Oreochromis niloticus: one gene and its partner. The protein of the gene in region 1 interacts with the protein of each later gene in a pairwise test. Links are inferred from orthologs where the notes say so. Each region holds a gene or a part of one and is shown on either strand. Other genes may lie near its edges.

Region 1 (7,878 bases):
CGAAGCTGTTGACGTCCAGCTTGGACAGGTCCTGCATTTGCGTCATTCCCTGTCCGTGACTGAAGCGGGCTGCCTCCATCATCATATTCCTGTGGGGATGGACAGAATTCATCACAAAGTGCACCCACGTAACCATAGACAAAGTCAAAACGCCCACTGCACCCATCTTCGAGGCCTACCGGTTCTCTCCAGAGGCAGGTTGCTTTCTCATGTGGTCAATCACGTGCATCTGCTGTTGATTTGGAGCAAACATCTGGAAGCGGGCGCCGTTACGGCTCAGGTGGTACATGGTGCTGAAGACGAGAGGGGTGCATTACCATCTGCCCGTGTTAATTCAGTCATGTGCATTTCCTGACCTCAGCAGGAGTGATACTCACTAAACCCCTTCATGGACATCAGTGCCGTCCCACCATCCGCATCCTGAGAAAACCTGAAACACATGGAGTCACCAAATCACAACTACACCCACACCCGTTGATCTGCTCCTTTCTCCCAGACTGATCTGCATCACTTACCACTGCAACGTTAGTATTTCCCCAGTTGCCGTAGTCACCCTGGTGCACAAAGCAGGCAGGCTGGCGAGAAAGAACAGCCAGCGTTTGTTTTGACAGCAAAGCCCTGGTTGCCAGCATGATTTAGCTTCAATCTCACTGTTGTAGAAGAAAATTTTAAAAAATAAAAGACTTCACAGTTTTACCACAGAGCCACGTAGAGACTTTTAATGGTCGTGGTGTTGATGTCAACGAGGTTGTCCGTATATATACCTGCAGAGTGGGGCTAAGTGACGTTACCACGTAAGCTCTGTCTTCTGAGAAGAGCCGTCTCTTGTTCGCCTTGACTGACTTACTCTCCTCCTCATGAACACTCTTTCCTATTAATACCTTGTTTATTTATCTGATTAAGTCATTTGGCCACAGAGTGACACTTCAGCTTTGAAGAGCAATGTAAACATGTAGTGCTTCAACCCAAACAGTATCTTGACCTTTTAATAGTTTAACTCTTGGCAACAGATGCAGACAAGCGAACTTGAAGAACAGCTAACATATACTTTTGCAAAACAGTCACAGTGTCTTTTATATAAGGCAACAATCGATGTGATGCCTGAGTGAGCCTTTTTTCCCCGCTTTCTATAGTTACTCCTTTGTCCCAATTCAATTACAGGGATTGTTTAAATCTTGTGCGTTTAGCTAGTTCAAAGTAATCTAAGGTAATCTGATTTATGAAGTGTGGCAGAACTTGACAGTCTGTAATTTAGCCTCATGATATATGTTATTCTACGCTAGCTCATTATTTAAAGTCTGTATATTGACCACATTATGCATCCGGGAAAAGCCTTGCAGTCTTTGCCAGTAAGACTCTTTTTTTTTTTTTAGCAGCAAAAAGGTCCTGGGTTCAAGTCCCCCAGTCAGATGGGGCTTTTTCTATGGGGTTTCTCTGTTCTTGGTAGGGTGAGAGGTGATTCAGAATTGCTCATTTGTGTGAATGTGACTGTGATTGGCTTTCTGCCTCTCTGTGCTAGCCCTACAACAGACTTGCGACCTGTCTTGGACGTACCCAGTCTCTCTCTCTCCTAGGCTCCAGCCTCACTGCGACCCTCAAATGGATAAGAAAACGGATGGATCGAGCATTTAAACTGCTTCATACTTCTGAACTCTTCACAGTAAAAGGCGTACCATACGCCCACTAAAGTCCATTAGACCTTAAGACTCTTACTCTCTTTAATGCCATGTTGTGTCTACAGTCTCTAGACTACGAGACCAGAAATACCCCAGGCAGACGTAAATGTTAAAGTCACAACACTGTTAGATCAACGCAGATCCTTCGGGCTGCATTTGCTGAAATCACAATAAATCAATGTTAATTCACAGATGACGAGCGAGAGGCAAAAGTATGAGGTTTCCTTTATTATGATCACTTCTTTTTTAAATGTATAAATGATCATTATTTACAAATTGAGGAGGGAAGGGGGGTTATAGTGACAGTTTGAGGGACAAATGCAGAAAATTATGGAATCAACAGAACAATACACAATCAACTAGAATCACAACATCAGTCACAAGTCCAAGCCTCTGCCTGTGTGAGATGTTCTCGTTTAGATGGTGACTCAAAGTTTAAAGTCTTCACACAAATGAACTCATGCACTGGAAATGCATACTGAAACGGTCACATGTGGGAATCACAAAGTGCAAGTAATTTTTTTTTTTTCAAAAGCAAACACGAGAAATATAATGAACAACTTCTGATGCGGTGAGGTGTTTTTTAAACTAAATGTCACCCTTACTGTGAAATAATACAAACATGTTTCTCACTTTCTCTCGATTGCTACACACACACACACACTTTCTCACACATGCGCGCGCGGACACACACACACACCATGATTCGTTTTAAAACACCAAAGACCTGGCTCACAATTTCTGACAGTTTTCTTATTTCAAGTACAGAAGTGAACAAAGATTTAACTAGTGAAAAGATGAACAAAGCAAAAACTACAAAAAGACAGCACAGACAATAAATAAGGTCCAATCTGATATCTTATATAAAATAAAGATGTTTAAAGAATCTTGTCAGTGTATTTCTGCATCTGTAAGGTGTCGGTAAAATAAAATTCACACAAATGGCAAGCACGTCAAACTAAAACCATAAAGCAAACAAAGCTCCACTCACGTCCGATCGAGAGCAAAACAACCGCCGATAGCGCTCATTCAACTAAATCCTACTAAAACGATCCAGCTCTGGTTGTTCCATCAATTAATTGTCATGAGCCGTGTTGAGCACTTCCAGCAAGTTTAGTTTTCTTTACATGTAAGGACCAAATCCCTAAAAGCCATTTACATGCAATTCACTAACAACTCCAGTGGTGAAAGTAAGAATTAGCTTCTAAATTTCTGTCACCACTAAAGAAAGCTTTCATGCACCCAAGCACCGTCATTCAAGGAACCTGCGCACTGACACGCTGTGTTCACTGAGTATTTTTGCAAAGATATCCATTTGATAAAGAGCTGGGCTTTGCCCATCAAGCTAAGTAGCTGTGCTGAGAGAGAAAGGTGTTACAAAGGCGAGTCTGGTGGCATTAGGGTGTGTATGCGGGTGGCGGTTGAAATTGATTGGCAATGTCATAATCGGCAGGAAATGTTTCACTGCTGTCCTCCATCTCCGAGAGCAGCTCTAAAGCCTGCTCTTCCTCCTCAGTTGGGTAGTGACGAAGAAGATTTGCAGCTGTGGCGAGGATGGATGCTCCACCCGCGCCCGCCACCAGGTAGAAGCTGATAGCAAAAGTGACGTATATGAGAGAGCCGTGGTACTTTTTGTGCTGCTGCTGTAGGGACAAGATCAGCTCTGAGGCCCAGTAGCAAAAACCTATGACTGTGGCACACTGCAGCACTGGTGGGAGACAGAAAGAGACAGTTACAGATCATTGAATTTACACATTGTCTGTCTTTTTCTAGACAGCAAGAGGGGAAAAAAGATTATTACCTGTGAGAATATGTGCAAATGCATATCTGCGGGTTATTTTCAGGGCAGGGTGCTTGGGACCAAACACATCCAAGAGAAAAGCAGTCAGACTACAGAGGATTCCCAGGAAACAAAAGGCAGCGATTACTCTCAGCAGCAAGATGGTCTGCGGGTTCACGCAGTAATCTGATGGGAACAGACGGACACATCACAGAGCATTACACGTGAGATCTGGGATTAATTGCTGCTGTGGGTTTTTAACGGAGCTTGTGTGTGGGCCTCACCATCCAGAAGCTTGGGGTCAATGTATCCCAGGACATCTGACACCCCCAGCTCTTGTCTCGGACAGGTTCCTCCGTGGACGCGGAGCCAAGCCGGCTCAGCCAGAGCTGTACACAGCGCTGTGATGGACAGAGCTCCGGGAAGAGCCGACACAAGGCTCCGCTCCGGCTGCTTGGGCAACGAGGTGCCTCTCCTCCTTCGGCCTCCAGGGACAGTAGAACCCGGCGGGGCATACATCCTAATCCGATTTCCTCGTCCTCTGTTGTATAGTGTTGCTTTCCCTTTATTGTCAGTGTACCTGACAGCACTGCGGTAGTAACGAGCAAGTCAGCCAAAAAACCGACAGCCGGTAAAGCTAATTCTGGACTGATGACAGCGACCCGGCTCCTTTGTTCACTCTGGTTTCAAATGTTTCCAAATTAAAACAGACCATAAAACTAGCTGTTTAATCAAAAGCAATTCAGGTGTCTGACTGACGGCAACACAATGGACAGATGGTTCAGGCCTGCTAGCTCTGTTGTTAGCCTGAAAAGCTAACTTCTCGTAAACGCAAAATGTCGTCAAGTTTTTCTTTTTTTTACAAAAAATAACTATAACAGCGACCGACACGACAGTCATACGTCTATAAAGTAATCTAGCTAACAATACTAATAAAAATAACGATAGATTTGGTACACAAAAAACAAAGACAAAACAAAAGGAAGCGTCCGCTGGCTTCCTCGAAAACACTTGACTTCCTTGTTCATACCATTCTTCTTCTTCGCGGACTCGATAGCTGTAAAAGTCAGTACTCCCACCTACTGGCGACTCCTCCTATGGCAGAAAGTCATCATACAATAACATAAAATTCTCTTCTTTATTTTATTAAACTCACTCATTGTACATTAACAAAATAAAGGTGCTCGCGTGAATACTTCATAGGAAATCATAAAAAGAGATGACCAAAAATTTATAGCACAATTAAAAGAAACAAGACTGACCAAAGTGCTTTACAAGTTAGTTAAGAACAAACAAGATAAAACCTTAGATCAATAAAATACAATAAAACACGACATAAAATAAAACACCGTAAATTTCACGGAATTGTTTTTTACGTGAAATTTCCCGAGGGGAAAAAAAAAGACCACGAAACTGCAACCCACAATGCAGCGCGGGGACTAGATAAGTAAAGATGGCGGCATTTTGCTCACCGGTGATGTTGTGAACTTCTGCACTTTGTTGTTTGGTGCTAGTTACAGACTGTGTTCAGCGCAGATACGGCCATTTTTGTATCCGTGCCCTGGTTGTTGACTGTGGTTTAGGGCTGTAGTGCTGCTGCTGCTCTCTGTCTGCTTTTGGTGCTTCGGGCCATTTCCTGTCTCGTTTCTCGGCTAACTGTCAGTGACAGCGACTCGGAAGTATTTTCCCAGCTCGACCATGAAGGAGGCTCTGTCCCTGGTTCAGAGGTTGAGCGCACACCCGGACTCCCGCTGCTGGTTCGTCAGCTGGAGCCCCAACGGGACGCTGCTGGCCTCATGTGGGGGCGACAAGACCATCCGGATATGGGGGAAAGAAGGTGAGCTCTCCATGAACTGAACCGCAGACACCCCCAGCCTCAGTCGCATAACAAAGCATTATAGTACAGTAGTTGACATCCTTCACCCCTTTACCTTGCTCTCGTTTTTCAGGTGACTCCTGGATATGTAAGAACGTGCTGCAGGATGGACACCAGCGCACCGTGAGGAAAGTGGCTTGGTCTCCCTGTGGGAATTATCTGGCCTCTGCAAGCTTTGATGCTACCACTTGCATCTGGAAAAAAAAGAACGATGACTTTGAGGTCAGATGACAGGTCTCCTGTTCATTGTGTTAAATGGCATGCCTTAGAAATGCTGCATCTTTGCAGATTGTTACCCACACTTTGTCTCCTAGAGTTTGACTGTGCTGGAAGGACACGAAAACGAGGTCAAGTGTGTGGCGTGGGCCCCTTCAGGGAATCTTCTAGCCACATGTAGCCGAGACAAGAGCGTCTGGGTTTGGGAAGGTTTGTATTAAAGAGCGCCTAAATTGCACTAACTGATCTGCGCCACTGTCTGTTTATATACTTGACCTTGTCTCTTTCTGCTCTGCAGTGGATGAAGAAGACGAGTATGAATGTGTTACAGTTGTGAACTCTCACACGCAAGACGTCAAGCACGTTGTCTGGCACCCGACCCAGGAGGTAGGTCTCATTTGGATCTGTCCACATGATTGTTTTTTCATCTCCAGTTGCAACACCACGTGACCCTGCACTCACCATGTGTTTGTACAGCTCCTGGCCTCAGCCAGCTATGACAACAACATTTGTCTTTACAAAGAAGAGGATGATGACTGGGAGTGCCGGGCCACCTTACAGGGACACACGTCCACAGTGTGGAGTTTGTGTTTTGATGCGGCTGGTCAGAGGCTGGCCTCCTGCAGCGATGACCGCACTGTGAAGATCTGGAGAGAGTATCCAGCTGAAAGTGGACCGGGTGAGTCAGCAATGGTTAGGACTAATTAGTTTTATCATAAATCAATGCTGTAATAAAAATATTGACAATATGTATTTTTTTTTTTCTGCTTTTCTGTTTAAGATCTGTCATGGAAGTGTGTTTGCACTCTGTCTGGGTACCATGGACGAACGGTGTATGATGTTTCCTGGTAAGACTATTTTTGTAATGTACTCTGCCATTCTTGTAAAATGCTTCAGTCAATCATTAAAGGTGCAATTAGTCATTGTTTGAAGTCATTTAATAGAAAAAAAGACCATTGTGCACATAAACATACATCTATTAGTGTGTAATTACATCTTATGCATTCTCATAAACTTAGATTTAATCCATTAAAAATACATAAGTGTGGAAGCCACCACGTTGCCTCGCCATCTTGAATGGAGTAACCGAGATGAGGATTGCAGTTCAGCCTAATCATGTTTTATGTATGTAGGAAGAGACTTGCCAGATATATAGTATGCTAAAGGACGGGGGATTCATGTGGTGTGGAGGCAATTTGTGTTTTCACCTTCAGACTAAAGATATGAAAGATTATTCATATGTTTTACCATCTGAGAAGGGTTCACCAAGGAAGTGAAAACATAAAGGAAAGAAACAGCGTGACCCGTAACTGAATAAAAATGTCATCCTCTTCCTCACCTCAGGGCTCTAACACACAAAAACATGCATGAAAATGCTAATTTATTCCTGATATTGTTGCAGTTACTTATTGTCGGCAGATTAGACATGCGATCCTCTAATACCAGCTAATGTTAGGCTCGAGGGTCCTAAAAGTGACACTTTCCCGCTGTTACAGTGTTTCATTAGATTCTCAAAGTTTATTGGCAAAAAAAAGATTCACAAATGCCGACCCCAGCAGATCGCTCAACAACTCACCTCAGTATCACCGTAATAGGATAAAAAATGAGCTTCAGTGACCTGTATTGGACCCCTGTAAGTTTTGCAGCCTCCTCCAAAGTAAATAGACCTGCACGTCTCACCTGACATATCAGCAGCTTACACTAGCTACAGATTAATGGCAGTTTTTGAGGTGAAAACTGTAACTAGGATTATTAGAAAAAAGAATTCAGCTGAATTTGTTCTTAGATTTACTGACATCTAGTCGTTTTTACACACTGCACCTCTAAGATCGTCTAGCGATAGCAGTGGTTAAGCGTTCCACAACTTGTAATTTCTCTGTAACAATGCAGTAGATAAGATAACCTTTATTAGTCCCACACGTGGGAAATTTGTGAGGAATATGTGGTGCTCTATGCAGAGAATTATGTGAGAACATAAAGTGGAGGTTAACTGACCACCAGAAATCCCAAAGATGTGGTCTCCACGTGCATGAATTTGTCATTGTTAGACGTCACAGTGAACCTAAATCTTTCTTCAGGTGTCAGCTGACTGGCGCTTTGGCAACTGCCTGTGGTGATGACGCAGTGCGAGTTTTCAAGGAGGATGAGACAGCCAATCCCGACGAGCCAGTATTCTCGCTGGCTGCTCAAGTGGCCAGAGCTCACAACCAAGATGTTAACTGCGTGTCCTGGAACCCAAAGGAGGCGGGACTCCTGGCTTCGTGCAGCGATAACGGAGAAATCGCCATTTGGAGGTTCCAAGAAGAGGAATGAACATCACTGGAGTGCAT
Region 2 (7,679 bases), on another chromosome or scaffold:
TTGAGATGCTTTTCAGCATAGTTTGGTTTTATAAGGAGTAGTCATTTGAGCCATTGTGGCCTTCAAGTCTGGCCATTTTCTTCAACAAGGTATTTTCACCCAAAAACCTGCCTCTCACTGGATATTTTCTCTTTTTATTTAGACCATTCTCTGTAAACCCCACAAGTGGATGGAGAGTGGGGAAACCCCACTAGATAAGCATTTTATAACATGCTCAGGCCAGCCAGTCTAGCACCAACACCTTTGCCACATTCAAAATCACTTAAATTACACTGAAACTTCAGCGGATGACCTTTCTCATGTATATATGTTGAAATGCATTTAGTTCTTCACATATGAGTGGCTGATTAATAATTAAATGAATGAGCAGTTGAACAGATACACCCGACAAAGTGGCCAGTGAGTGTATATGACAAATGTAACAGGTAGAGTTTCTCTGCATTTTCACACTGTTAAAATTTCCAGGTGGAAGAATAATTTCTTTGTCCAAACGAGACTGTGTTATGAGCTTACACTCAGATTATATTATTCTTTGGGAATTTAAGAATTGGCTTTCTCTGTACTCTTATTCAGTAAATGTTGCCAATGTACAGAACCTGTATGATCCTGATCACGCTACTCATACCAGGGGTAGGGGTGTGCAGATAGTTGGTAGATACAAAGCAAGTTTTCAAAGAAACCAAACATGTCCTCCTGCAAAAATCTGAGTCTAAAAGCTGACAAGGCTAAAGTTGGCTGGCTGTTCAGATGCTCCTGGTGGACAGACACTGGTTGACCACCTCCAGTAGAGATGCATTCTCCAGAGCTGCTGCCACTCTCTCTTTGTCTGCCAGCTGTTTGTTCACTGTACACAAAATGACATAAACAGTATGATAAAAAATGCATTAGATTATACTGGTAAAAATGGTCTAAAATTCCATCTCGCCTCCTTTCTCTCTATGGAGTTTTACCTGCTTCCTCTGAAGCATGAGTCCCAGGAGTGATACAAACATCAATCTGAGAGGAAATAGAAAAAAATATACTGTAATGTAGGCCACAACTGAAAATAACAAAAGATTAAAGCACAGAAAAATTTGACACTGTAAAATATGCTTAAGGTTAAATGTGCATGTCATGTGAAAAAACATGCATAAACATACTTTGAACCTGTCTGGCAGGGAGCGCAGAAGTTTGACTTTGATTGACAGACCAATGAGTGTTGCCATGCTGCAGTGAGGGATGGTAGGTGTGAACTCAACACCCACAGTATTCTCTGCATCATTAACCTGAGGGAGCATACACAAATAATAAACATCATTCATCAATTTATCTTCCTAACAGCATACTGCATTCATTTTTAACAATGAAATTCACTGTAAATACTTTTGAATGAAATGCTTGTTGTTGGATTCAACTGTCTTCAACCATTTTCTTTACTAAAGTATCTGCAAGTGTGTTGCAGAGCATCTTTTTATTTCCTTATTCACACTATTACAAACATAGGAAAAATGTATAAAATAGGAAGCAAAAAAAAAAAAACCAAAAAAAAAAAACCACACACCTTAACTCGAACTTGCTCCACAACATTGAGCTCTTCCAGTGACAGTGGATGCTCTGGGTCATTGATAGATCTGATCAGATGTAACTTTAGTTAAAGAATTCAAGACGGTATAATACAAATAATAAATATTTCTTTTTCTGCACTACTGTAATCACTGTACTAATGATATTAAAGTAAAGATCCAACAATATTAGAGAGAAACGCCAAGAATGATATCGCCTGTGAAGCAAGTGTTTGGTAAAAGTGGAACAGAAGAGCTCCCTTGTAACAGGGAGAGACCTCCAGCAGAATCAGGCTCATCAAAGTACTACCATTGGCCATAACCAGTTGGGAGGAGGGGAAAGAAAGGACAAGAAGAGAAAACAAATGTTAATAAGATGCATCACTGGCATGTAAACACATTAGGGGTGAAAATAAGTTGTATAATGCCCAGAAGCTTCATCAAAAACTTAAGTCTGAAGTCTGATCATAAGTAGTAATGGTGTGTGTCTCCTGAACCCAAACTGGTAGCTAATGGCTTAAAACTCATTGTACAAAAGATTGAAGCATAGTCTATGAACCACAAGTGAACCTGTTTAAAGAGGTGCGATTTTGTAATAAAATAAACTGTCTGATCCTTTGACTTTAAGCTGTTTGCATAGCCACTGTACATAGGTCCAAGAAATCATTCAACTAATACTAACATCAGCTTAACAATAACTCAATTACAAACTGTCAAATTGTTCAAATTATATAATAAAATATATTTACAAAAATGAGACAATCCCTGAGAATACGAATTGCGTAACCCAAACCATTAACGGTATTTATAAGTTTAATCTACCATGGTCAACTAACCTATTAAAACACAGTTGACTTCAAAATGTTTAGTTAAGTTTTCAATACTAAGAAACTGACTATTATTACCTGTCGGCAAACCCAGATACAATCGGGCTACTTCTTAAACTGCTGTTAACTCCCTCGATTTCACCTCATTATCTAGCTGAATGGCACTGGTATTAGCGTTTAAGTCAGGCAAATAATATAATACATAAACATCATTAGAAAAAAGGATAAAGGGCATATCTCTAAGGTGTAAATCCACTCTAAACCACAGTAAAACATTTAAACAGGATATCGAATATTTCTCTGTCGTCGATGGGGTCGTGGACGTCTTCATCCTCTTCGGATGCCGTCTGTACTCTCTCCCCCGACCGCTGAAAAATCACAGGGTTTGCATTCTCCAAGCGGGTCCCCTCGGACATGTTCAGCGCTTATTTTAGTCCACGTTAAACAGTAAAAACCTCGTATTTTGTCAGAGCTTGCCGCTGCAAACGAGCTGTACAACTAGCGCCCTCATGAAGTACTTCCTGGAATAACGGAAAGCCGCAGAGTCCAAAACATAAACGTTCTACAGTCTTAAAGGAACAGTACCCGCAAATTCTTTCCTGCTAAATACGCATTCTTTCAGTAAGATACGTATTCAGTTAACTGAGTGCCTTTTCGGACGTGAGACGGAGTAAGCTATACAGATGTTTGTTTGTTTTAAAAAAAAAATGCCATTTAAATTTCCTTTCATAGTCTTTGCTTATTCTCTTGTTATGTTCAAATTTTCCCAGGCTTCCCATTTTGAAGGCTTTGACTGTACATATAATTTTTTTTACTGGCATTTGTCTCCCTGGTTGTCCGGCAGATGGCAGATACCGCCCATTTTAGCACTTGACACCAACAACCTTACGCACAAAATACGCTTTAATAGAAGTGTTGTTGCAATAACAATATACTGACCACAATAATCTTAATTTCACATGACTTTTTACATGTAACGTTATTACGTTATTTTTTTTAAAATTTATTTTAGTTTGTGTGTTGTTGTTTTTTTAAACAAAAACATATTTCTTTTTCTCACAGTTCTTTTATTTTGTGCACACCTGAATCAGATCTAATTTGCATGTTCTTTCAAACACATTTGACCTATTATCGGGAAGAAGAGAGATTCTGCTTTTTCATCTATGCAGAGTAAAAAGTGTATCCTGATAAATTTATGACAAGCCACCAGTGGTAATTTAGATTGGTGGGCTAGCTATGAGTCCTCACTTTAGTTTCCTAGAATTTCCTCTCTGTTAGCAAAGCTCGAGCATGATAATGAGATTATGTATCTGTATTCAAAGCTAAACTGGTATCTACAACTCAATTAAACACAGTAATTTCACCATTTTGATGTTAAGCCCCTACAAACTCATTGCAATGATTATCTTTGAAAAAATTAAAACAAACTGGTTATGGAAGCACTTTATTTATAAAATTAAATTATTATATGGTTTTCATTTCTGTACTACACAACTGCCATCACCATCAACTACTTCTATCAAGTCAGAATCTTAATGAACTGCTGCAGTCACTGGAAATGTGGAGCGTGGTTGATGTGAAGTTTTACTTCAGCCTGATATGTTCACCTTTTGAAAAAAATGTGCATATAATGAGACTGCACACGGCCGCTGACACATGTTTTAATAAAAATGTCATGGATAAGGGCAGCGACAGTTGAAAAGGGCGAAAATATTTTCCTAACTGTGACAATATGGACTAACAACCTTTAGATTCACAATTCTGGTTTCAGGTGGTAAAATGCTATTTATAAATAGTTGTTTCTGTGAAATTAGATATGACCAGCAGTGAACATTTTTTCTAAGCCCAATTTATGCAAGAATTACATTATCAGCACAGATGACTCCAAAACCTCAGTGTCTTGCAACTACATGAAAAAGACTGAAAATTTTCATTATAAAAGGCAAAATCTTAATGAGCTACTAAATTAAAATCATATCAACATTACCAGTCTTAAATATCTCACAAGTTTAATGTCTAATCAGAACACCTGATTAGAAAACCTTGAGCATTTGGGGATGAAAAGTTTAGAAGCATGTAGATAAATGAGGCACAAACAGGAAAGTTTTATGTCTCGCATTAATGCAGTGCACTATCAGAATGAGAAGTAAGAGTTTGCTGCTGCATAATGTAGAGAGTCCAGAGAGGTGAGTTTTTCATGGTCTGACATTGTGAATGTGAAGGAAATAATATCCCGTTCTGAAGTCAAAACATTTGTGAAAAATGAACACTGTTTGTCAGACATGGGTTTCTTAAGCTTCTGAATTTAAAGAAGTCTTTTTTAAAATTCTCAACAGTACTGATAATAAAATGGAGCTACCTGTGGAGAGCAGCTTGCTGCTGCCATGCACTGTGTGCATTATGTGATTATTCCTCATTTGGTCTTTGTGTTCAGAGCATGGTGGGATTCCATATTTATAGAGAACCACTGGTGGTGTTGAGCCTGGAGCAGCACACCTGATGTGCATAATGAGACAACAAAGCTGCAGACAACCAGTTCACAGCTTGCCATAAAAATAGCAGCAAATGTTAGCAATATGCAGACATATGGGTAGATTATTTTCCTTAATGTCACAATGTATTCCCAAAAAATGGATTATGAGGACTATAGAGCAATTTTTATTGCAAAGAGGTCTTTAGGTTTGACTGTATTTGTAGCTTTTTGAAATATGCAGTGCAAAAATTAGGTGCAGAGAAATGGAAAAGCATAGAAGGCTTGAACTTCCCTCTCAAGTCAACTTTTAAATTACGGTAACTCATTTTTTCTGAGGACTGCCCAAAACTATGCACTGAGATTCCTATTAGAGTGAGAAAGTGGGCATTATATGGACAAAAGTACTGAGCCAAAAATGACACCTACGGGGACTGCTTGGCTGTAGAAACCCATGCCATGAAGCCCCCTGTGCACAGTTTTTTGTGCTGATGTTAATGCTAGAGGAAGTTTGGAACATTATTATTGACTATGGAAATCACTACTAAGTGACCCTGTTCTGTAACTTTACTGAAACTCATAGTTTCAGTCTTGAGACCATTTGTCTAATACAACATAGCTCATGGCATTAAAATAAAGACTAAAGACAATGTAAATGTGATTTATCCACTTGATGGACAGCAGTCACACCAGAACGCAGGTCAGTGCTTGACATTAGGAGTGTAAATTTCACTCTTGCTATGTGATGTAAGAACAGTAGCAAGAAGCAGACAGTCACTAAAGGACCCTGCATGTTAGTGTGATGGTAGTCCATAGGTGCCAGGCAGAGCTTTGTAGACCCATGTCTGTGTATAATAGCTGTCTACTGTCACCTCAGGCCAGGCAAAAATAGGTTGAATAACCAGTAATGTCGACTGCTATTTTTCATGATTCGGCTACTTGTTAGTTCTGTAGCTTTGCCCCTGCAGCTGAGGAGAAAGAAATCATAACATGCAAAGAACTTTTGTAGTGAAGGGAAACTGATTATCAAACACGAAAGGAAACTGTCCAGTGCAGCTACTCTCTGTGCTTCTCCTGTTTTTTTTTTTTCTTGATCTTTGATGTTTTTCACACTTCTCCCTGTTAATGGTGAGCTTTGCTCTTGCTCTCTTTTCTGTTCGAGTCAACTTTGCAACAAGTCATTATTTGACCTGTGGAGGGCATTGCACTGATGGCCTTTTGGAGGTTGAATCCCTCATATCCCTCTCTCTGCATATCCAGGCAGCTACGCAAATGGTCACCAGTGTGGGAATACAAATCCTGGAAAATTTTGAGAGATTTTATCATTTTATTTATTCATTTTTGTAACAGAAATAAAAGCAAAATAAAACAAATATACTTCCAGGAGAACAAGTCTTGTCTTGCATGCAGTCACCTTTACTTGCAAATTATTAGGATCATGGTTTAAGTTTATAAAGTAAAAGACATCAGTGAAACTGTATCATTTAAATGCTTTAAAAATCTCTGCCACATCAGCATAAAAGCTAATTTTTTCTTACCGGGTTAGTGATTTCCACCTGTACATTTTAGGTTTAACTTGACACACTGCTGCCATATTTGTGAACCTTCATTTAAAAAAAAGTTGACCAATATTGTGTAAATTCTGATCATTCAAGTTGTAATTAAGCCCAGAAAGCCATGACCTTTTGTACTATGGGTTTTGGCCACTGGAGCACATAAAATATATTATACATATTGAGGCAAACTTTGCAGTCTCACAGAGAGTTTCTGTGTCTTGTCAGAAAATGAGATGCCTTTCATCATTTATGAAATACTGAATTAAATATACAAGGTCAAAGGTAAACTTTTGGAGGAGAAATACAAACTATAGAAACTAGACTTTTTTTTCTCTTTACAAAAGCTACAAACAGAGTGAACAATGAAGTTTGAACATAGGCTTTTATATTATGTGTTCACTCATGCTAAACCTATGTTTTGTTATTCACTGAATTAAACATGAAATTGCAAAATGAAGATCTTTTAGTTTTAAATTATTTATCTAACTCATGGTTTATAACCATACTGTGAGATGAGAATGGATGAGAGATCATGCTTCTTTTTAAGTTTCAGGTCGCATTTTCCTCTTAAAGAGGAAAGTATCACATTATTACAGTTCTGACAAATTATTGTTCAGTCTTTTAGAATGATGTATTGTTCCAGTTGAAAAGTTAATAACTATGTGTTTTATAATTGCAGCCTTTTAGAAATGTTCACATTTTCCTTTTCAGGAGTTTGCTCATTGTTTCACATTAATGTGCATATTCAGAGTGACTGCAACAGTCACAAAGTGACAGCAGAAGATGACTTACTTTGGAAAGCAATTTCGAAGAGTCAGGAAGAATTTCTTTTCTGCTTTTACCTCGCCCTCGGGGGAATTAGGTGAAGGAACCAGCCAAAGAGACTATCATTTGAACAACTATTTATAAAAAGCATGTGGCAGAACATTTATTGAAGGTGTAAATTAAACTAGCTCACAATTTTTAACAGCGGCTTCAGCGTTTTGTGTGTCTCATTTAATATCATCCAGCGACAAAACAGCACCGCATACAGTAAATGTCTTTCATGGGCTGTTTAAGCTGATGTAAGCTCAGCTCTTTAAGCGCAGGTTTGGTGGGACTCTATAGTATGATATGGCTCCTCCTTTGGATCAGTTACTTAATAATTTCGTCATTTTTTTTGCAGGAGGGGAGCAGCACAGGTTTCAGGGACACATGGAGTCTTACAGAGGAAGTGAGAGAGGTGTAAAAACATAGGAAGATGAAACAGGTTTATACTTTGGCAGGCTCACTTGTCATCTCTTAT

Evidence for each region.
Region 2: the proteins of ciao1 (region 1) and ciao2b interact in binary tests that used the Homo sapiens proteins (3 or more experiments, as listed by UniProt). The two-hybrid records come from large-scale screens. The link is inferred for Oreochromis niloticus from reciprocal best matches to the Homo sapiens genes CIAO1 and CIAO2B.

Annotation. Positions count from the first base shown.
Region 1 is NC_031977.2:12,291,513-12,299,390, reverse strand, and holds the start of ciao1 (putative cytosolic iron-sulfur protein assembly protein ciao1), read left to right. Parts: upstream 1-4,873; 5' UTR 4,874-5,154; coding exon 5,155-5,293; intron 5,294-5,405; coding exon 5,406-5,554; intron 5,555-5,646; coding exon 5,647-5,758; intron 5,759-5,846; coding exon 5,847-5,935; intron 5,936-6,025; coding exon 6,026-6,227; intron 6,228-6,329; coding exon 6,330-6,396; intron 6,397-7,626; coding exon 7,627-7,861; 3' UTR 7,862-7,878. Other genes in the region: gatd3l (ES1 protein, mitochondrial), read right to left, coding at 1-89, 180-293, 378-430, 516-632; tmem127 (transmembrane protein 127), read right to left, coding at 3,074-3,384, 3,478-3,642, 3,741-3,975. UniProt on the Homo sapiens protein: Key component of the cytosolic iron-sulfur protein assembly (CIA) complex, a multiprotein complex that mediates the incorporation of iron-sulfur cluster into extramitochondrial Fe/S proteins.
Region 2 is NC_031978.2:7,117,063-7,124,741, forward strand, and holds the start of ciao2b (cytosolic iron-sulfur assembly component 2B), read right to left. Parts: upstream 3,021-7,679; 5' UTR 2,785-3,020; coding exon 2,658-2,784; intron 1,621-2,657; coding exon 1,541-1,620; intron 1,266-1,540; coding exon 1,140-1,265; intron 997-1,139; coding exon 951-996; intron 845-950; coding exon 744-844; 3' UTR 1-743.